2 linked regions of the Arabidopsis thaliana genome follow. The protein of the gene in region 2 purifies or fractionates together with the protein of the main gene of each other region. This does not show direct contact. Each region holds a gene or a part of one and is shown on either strand. Other genes may lie near its edges.

Region 1 (3,752 bases), on a different chromosome or scaffold from region 2:
CAAACCAGAATTAAGAACATAGCCAAAGAAAAAACCAACCAGGAAAGATTAAGACTTTCAACTTAAGTTATTACCTCATAATCTCCTATTTCTAACTCATCGAGGAGTTCAGTTAATATCTTGACAATTTCAAAATCGGGTCCCATTGGTTCGAACAAACCAGCGATATCAAAATCACACTGATAAAACTCTCTGTATCTCCCTTTAGATGGATTATCCCTTCTGTACACCTTTGCTATTTGGTATCTTTTGAATGATGTGATTCCATTCATAGCCACATACCGTGCAAATGGAACAGTTAGATCATATCGTAAAGAGCAAAGCTCTCCACCCTGCAATTAATAGATCCATATGAGCTCAAATTTTGACAAACAAATCATCACATAAACTGATGATATTACAGCAGCCAAGAAGAGTTCTACCTGATCAGCAATATCATAAACCAATTTCGAGTCTTCTCCGTACTTTCCCATAAGGGTCTCTCTCAATTCAAAAACAGGAGTATCAAGTGCAGTTGCACCATGCCTCTTGAAAACGTTTTGTATGATTGAAAAGGCTTTTTCTCGGACTGCCATTTGTTCTTTAGCGAAATCTCGAGTTCCCTGTCATAGAATGAAACAAATCAGAAATTAACTCTGAGGCCTAAACCTTCTCCATATACGAGATTGTAATTTACCTTTGGAAGCTTGGGAAGTCTCCTATTTTCATTACTTTCTACAATCTCTTTCACTTTATCCAACAAGCTATCAAAACTGCGACCCTCTGGGTTGAAAAGATTTAAGATTTGCTCCCCACATTGCATCAATGAATGCATCTGGTCACCATCACTTGCTGCGTCATTACTCACCAATCTATCTTTGATAAACTGGATAACTAGGCTTGTCCCCTTTCCCACAACTGCTTTTTTCTCATTCTTCTTCTTTTTCTTATCGGTCTTCGACTCTTCTTTGTCCGCATCTCCGCTCTTCTGAACAAACAATTCTCCACCAGCAAGAGCAAAAAAGGCAGCAACTGCCTCCAAACCAACAATTCTCCATACAATTCCCAGACACTCATTCAGTTTGTGAGCAAACCTGCAGTAATCCTCTTCCAAATGAGCAGTATAAGCTAACTTATAGCTATTCTTTAGATTCTCATTCTCAACACAGATCTTTTCAGATAAACATTTCTTCAGATTCTCATCCACAATCTTCTCAAAACAAAGCTTAGCACGAAGGAACGAACACACTCCCAAGTTTTTAATCGCCGTTAACAAAGGTAACAATGTTGTTCCTAAAGCCTCACCAATCCCAGTGTTTCCAGACCCAGTTTTGCCTCCTTTAACACCGGAATTCAATTCTCTCCTAGCATCCGCGTGCACGCTTTTCACCACATACCTGAATTTCCCATGAATCCAAGGGATTTTCGAAATCTCTTCTATTTCTAATTTCCCTGTACCTTTATACCCGTTAAGCAAAACCTTGAGATCACCAGCAACACCAATCACATCTTTATCACCATTCCCATCTCCTGAATCCAACAAGCTAAACGAAGCTATATCAGCCTTTGTAACCTCACAACTCAACGCAGCAACAGAATCCACAATCTGTGAAAGAGTCGTCGATTTGTGATCTATAATAGAACAAATCCCAATCAACGAAGCACACGACTTCTCCAACACAATGTTTTCCCCTTCTGTCACATCAATCTCACCCAATTCCAAACTCTCAGCCTTCAAATTCAGAATCTCAACAATCTTAAGCGGAAGAACAGAACGAGCGGTGGATGAAGAAGGAGGACCAGAAGTCGACAAAATAAGCTTGTTTAAGAGAACAGCCAGAGAAGCTCGAGTTTCTTCGTTCGTTAACCCTTGAGGGATACCAAAGGAGCTCCTTTTGATCGATGGAACGTTTCTAGTGGAGAATCTCTCGATCGCAGAAGAGTCAATTCGAACATTAGCGACGCCGGAAGCAACATTGTAAACGGAGGAAGAAGATAAAGAAGAACCTTTCCCTCCGAGAGTGATGGACGATCTCTCCGCCGCCATTATCACACACAGAGCTGAAGCCGGAGTGATTAGGGTTTTCTGTCTTTCGTTGTGTTTGACCTAAAACGAAGCACTGTGAAATTGCAAGAAGGCGGATTTAGAAAATTGGTAAACTGCAAAATGACCCTCGAAGTATCCAGTTATTGGAAATTGATCTACGAAAAATGCTTGTATGGATACTTCAAGGATCTTTTTGCAATTTTCACTTTACGAAATGTTTTTTTTTATCAACTCGAAACGGATTCAATAGTTCAATAATCATATTCAAAGAAGCCAACTTTTACTCTGATAGCCATTACAGAAACACAAAGCACAAAAGTAGTAGCTTACAGATTTTAACAAATCAACAACATCACTTGTGTCCTTTTAAACGGATAATTCAATCTGAGAAACAAGGATACCATCAGTATCTGCATAAAGCCATTCGCCATCGCATATCCGAGTGCCTGCAATGTTCAAAGAGACTCTTTGTTCACCAAGTCCTTTCTTACTAGCCTTTATTGGATGAGAAGCTAAAGCTCTCACTCCAATGTCGCAACCATTGATCTCATCAACGTCTCTGATGCATCCATTCACTATGATCCCTGCCCATCCGTTGTTCTGCGCTTGTACGACCGGGTTTCCTCCTAGTATCGCACAGCGTAAACTCCCTCCACCATCCACCACAAGAACTCTACCATTGCCTGTTTTAACATTTAAAACATTATTGAGCTTTTGATGTGAATGCTACAGAGAACAGATTGGTTTATTGACTCGGGTTTTTGAAAGACCTATCTCGTCTCTAGTATTCAAGAACTTGATTAGCAAAGTGACTGAAGAAGTATATAAACACTGAGCAGTAGTTCTAAATCATAGAGAGATGATCTTAAGACTTCTTCAAACATAGTTTCAAGCAAAGAACAATTGAAACTATTTGACAAGTAAGTAACACAAGAATTGAATCTAAAATGTAACAATACCAATAAACCATGTCAAAGATACTCTGAAAGTTCATAGCTCTACGAGTAAAGTTTCAGTCTTTTGAATTTTATAAGCAAGAATCATTAATACCTTTCTCTTCGAGGAAGTGACGGATTAAGCCATTGTCTTCAAAGACTTTAACAGTAACTACTGGACCTGAAAATATTTGACGACGACCATAAATCTGAAAAACGGGTTGCAGAGCTCGGAGCTGGCCACTTCGAATCATCTCTTGATTCGCGTCACACACTTCCGCAGTGGTCACAAACGCCATTTTTTCTTCTCACCTGAATCAAGAATTATGATCAAAACAAGTAATCTGGGGATTTGATTATATGAGATTTACGAGAAATTACTCAAACACAGAAAGCAAAAGACAAATCGAGATTAGTCTAGATAAAGTGATCATATATATTCTCAGTCAATCAATCAAAACCCAGAAGGAAAGATACACACTTTTCATTCAATTCACAAGAAAACTATTTCAAAATCCATCTGGGTTTTGATCGAATCTTATTTCATTTACCTGGAATAGAAGAAACTAGGACGAAGAAGAGAACTCTGTGTGCGTAAATCTCTGAGAAATGAAGTGATGATAATTTAAAGGAGAACAAAGTCATCAACATACTTGTTTCGGTCGTTCAATAATATTAAATTAGTGACTTTTAACTTTACTTAAATCAGATGGAAGGTGGGTTGTCGTTAAGCTTCGAAAAAAGGAATCTTTGCGTTGCCTTTTCTCTGGTTTCGACTCTGTTTCCTTGTT
Region 2 (3,752 bases):
GAACTTTTGAACTCCAGTAATTCATCAATTGACATAATTGTAACCTTAAATAGATAGCTGGGACGATGTTATTTGGCATTCTCCTATCCAAATATGACCCTGTGACCTGCTTAAAGTTTGCTGCCACACTAATGGTGGGTTCTTTGCCAACCATGGTAAGTAGCACCTATAAACTTGTGGTTATTCTTCTTTCGTCCAAGCTAAATAAGGGAAACACAAAGCTGCTGTGTTGTACGAGGCTGAACTATGTGTAATAGAATCATTCCTGTTTCCTATGTTTCAAGTTTCGAATTCTTTTTTCTTCAATTAAAAAGGCAGTCTTTCTCGTTTAGGTTTTGGATAATTGGAGCTTAGCCTAGATGGAGTATTATTAGTTCTTTTAACTAGATAAATAAGCTGTCATCAACATTGGAGTGATACTGTTCTGCTTCAGATCCTAGAAGCAATTCCACTTGCGCTTTACCAATTTATATGGGACTTCTTACCATCTTGCACTTCTAATAGAAGAAATCTGTTTTCTTCAGACAGCTCTTATATGGCTGACCAACAAGTTCTCCTCTGGAGTTCTGGACCGTCCTAAATGCTCCTTGAACAGCTGTTCTGCTGAAGGATCTCGTACTAATACCGACAGTATTTGTAAGGAAACCTTTTACTTTATACTACTTGGATACGCATAATTTATGATTTGAGCATGTAGTAGACATCACAAAATACCATTTGCTTTGTTCATCAGTTGATATTGGCATGGAAACTATCAAGCTCGGATGGAAAGAATATATTCAACAGCCAGTTCTTCCTGCTAGCCTCGCATATGTCCTTCTCTACTTTAACATCGTCCTCACCCCAGGCAGCTTGATGACTGCATTTCTAACACAACGATGTATGCTACTTCGACTCGGTCCCTTACTTTTCTTTAGTGCTTGGATGAAAATCGTAATTAATCTTGCGAGAGTCTTTGTGCTATTACCTATTACTCTTTCAAATTAGTCACCAATCTGTCTTTTTTCAACAGGTGTGAATCCATCAGTTATTGGTGGTTTCAGTGGATTATGCGCTGTTATGGGCGTCGCCGCAACCTTCTTATCAGCAAACTTGGTCAAACGAGTTGGCATTTTAAAGGTGAAATGTTTTCCCGCCATTTGTTATCTTGAGCTTGTATTGCGTTCAAGCTGATTAATGTTATTGCGTTTGCGTTTTAAAACGATGCAGGCGGGTGCAGTAGGATTGTTTTTCCAAGCTTCACTCCTTGCCGTTGCTGTTGCTGTGTATTGTAGCTCTTCTCTATCCCATAAAAGCCCACTCTTCTTCTTCTTGTCCATGATCGTAAGTTGTTTCTTCACTCTCTCTCTCGACCAGTAATATGCGGTTTTGGTGTTGACTAAAAGGTAACAAACAAATGCAGGTATTATCAAGGCTAGGTCACATGTCTTACGGCGTTGTGGGAGCTCAAATACTTCAAACCGGCATTCCATCATCCAAGGCTAATCTCATCGGCGCAACGGAGATCTCAGTGGCAAGTCTAGCTGAATCGCTTATGCTCGGAGTAGCCATAGCGGCGAATGACGCTTCCCATTTCGGGTTTCTCGCGGTTCTGTCTCTTTTATCAGTTGTTGCGGCCTCATTGATATTCTGCAGATTGCTGAGAAATCCCACTGATGAACAAAGACGACTCTTCTCCTTCGACCCTCTCTCAAATTGATTTGGAGCTTTTACATTGAAATATTTGTATAGTAGTTTCACTTTCAGTGTATAAATTCTTTATATAAAGTAAAGAAAAAAATTGACTTTGGTGTGAAAAATTCAAGAAGTATTCCACTTCCACCATTACTACTCTAAACAAAAAGTACTAAACTGGCTAAACCTTAGTTATTTTTCTAAACCGAGAATTAACGAGATAATTTAACAATCGATTTCAAAAACCAGCAAACCGAAATCACCCAATTTTTGGTCGGTTTGGTTCGATTTTGTTTTCTTTCACCCCTGACGAAGAAAAAAAAAACCCTAGTCACACTCAGATAACATAAACCTTTGACAACAAATTTTGATGCTCCTTCGTCTTACGGCTCGCTCTATTCGTCGTTTCACAACTTCTTCTTCGTCTCTACCATTGCTCTCATCGTCTTCGTTTTGTACTGTTCCAACAATGGCAGCTAATCATCCTAAGGATGAAGCGTATCTCTCCGCCGTCATCCCCAAACGTATCAAGCTTTTCGAGCAGATCCAAGCGAATCAACTCGAGAATCTTAAGTCTCTTCCACACGATCCGATCAAGTAAATACGATGCCGATGTTCTTATGTATCAGTGTGATTTGTAGTTTATAAGGTTTTACTTTGTTTCCTTGAAGATTGACTTCGATTTTCTGGTGTTGTGTGTGTTTAGGGTTACGTTACCAGATGGAAATGTGAAAGAAGGAAAGAAGTGGGAGACAACTCCGATGGATATCGCTGCTCAGATTTCTAAGGGTTTGGCTAATTCTGCGTTGATTTCGGCTGTTGATGATGTTCTTTGGGATATGAATAGGCCATTGGAAGGTGATTGTAAGCTTGAGCTTTTCAAATTTGATAGCGATAAAGGTCGTGATACTCTTTGGCATTCTAGTGCGCACATTCTTGGTCAGGTAAAGGAGTTTTGATCTTATCTGATTTGTGAAAGTTTTGGTTGTGGTGAACGAACGAGTTGTTTACTGTGGTTGTGGGTTGATCTTGGTGCAGGCTCTCGAGCAGGAGTATGGGTGTCAGCTGTGCATTGGACCATGCACAACGAGAGGAGAGGTAAGAGGAGCTTGTTTGTGCTAATTGTTACTTGTTTGTATATCATGTTCCATCATTTGTGAAGTTTGGTTTCTCTGTTTGGGTGTTTCTTGGTATTTTAATGAAGTGTTGTGTGTAAATAAGCTATCGCTGATGTTAGTAATGGATTTGTTATTGCAGGGTTTCTACTATGATGGATTTTATGGTGAATTGGGCCTGAGTGACAACCACTTTCCTAGCATCGAAGCAGGTGCTGCAAAAGCTGCTAAGGTGTTGTTTCTTCTTTTTGATTCGATTACTTTTAAGGTTTCTTACAATGTATGTTATAAAATATTTGCTTATTTTGTCAAACCTTTTTAGTGAAAAATGATTGATATATGTCTCCCAACTCTTAGCCATAGTTTCTATTGGTTTGATTCGCTTCTATTTGCATCTCAGGAAGCACAACCATTTGAAAGGATTGAAGTGACGAAGGATCAGGCACTCGAGATGTTTTCTGAGAATAATTTTAAGGTGGGTTAAGCTGTGTATAAATATCATTGGATTGTGTTATGCTCACCTAACCTTACATTCATTTCTGTCCTCTATGAAGTTGTTGTTTGGACTCATTATTCTGCTGTTAATCATGTAGGTTGAACTCATCAATGGTTTGCCTGCAGACATGACCATTACTGTCTACAGATGTGGCCCTTTGGTGGATTTGTGTCGTGGACCGCACATACCAAATACTTCCTTTGTGAAAGCGTTCAAGTGTTTGAGGGTGATTTGCTACTGTATCTCTAGGAGCTACATCTCTACAGATTCTAGTTTGTTTTCTTATGCTGACCAATATATTTTTCTCAGGCCTCATCAGCTTACTGGAAGGGTGACAAAGACCGTGAGAGCTTGCAGAGAGTTTATGGGATATCTTATCCTGATCAGAAGCAGCTGAAGGTACTCAAAATATCTTAATTATTTATGGCAGCTACGCTGTGTCATAAGTATGCATAATATCTATCATT

What was found. Proteins that work in one complex are often made in the same cells at the same time.
Region 1: the proteins of AT5G26830 (region 2) and AT3G02760 fractionate together in Arabidopsis thaliana (co-fractionation; one large-scale study listed by BioGRID). This does not show direct contact.

What each region holds. Positions count from the first base shown.
Region 1 is NC_003074.8:598,625-602,376, forward strand, and holds the start of AT3G02760 (Class II aaRS and biotin synthetases superfamily protein), read right to left. Parts: upstream 2,160-3,752; 5' UTR 2,027-2,159; coding exon 677-2,026; intron 603-676; coding exon 423-602; intron 333-422; coding exon 75-332; intron 1-74. Other genes in the region: AT3G02770 (Ribonuclease E inhibitor RraA/Dimethylmenaquinone methyltransferase), read right to left, coding at 2,393-2,709, 3,077-3,260.
Region 2 is NC_003076.8:9,435,307-9,439,058, forward strand, and holds the start of AT5G26830 (Threonyl-tRNA synthetase), read left to right. Parts: upstream 1-1,880; 5' UTR 1,881-2,044; coding exon 2,045-2,271; intron 2,272-2,380; coding exon 2,381-2,618; intron 2,619-2,712; coding exon 2,713-2,772; intron 2,773-2,931; coding exon 2,932-3,021; intron 3,022-3,189; coding exon 3,190-3,264; intron 3,265-3,382; coding exon 3,383-3,511; intron 3,512-3,594; coding exon 3,595-3,684; intron 3,685-3,752. Other genes in the region: IREG3 (iron-regulated protein 3), read left to right, coding at 54-155, 525-636, 734-880, 1,013-1,119, 1,210-1,323, 1,403-1,699.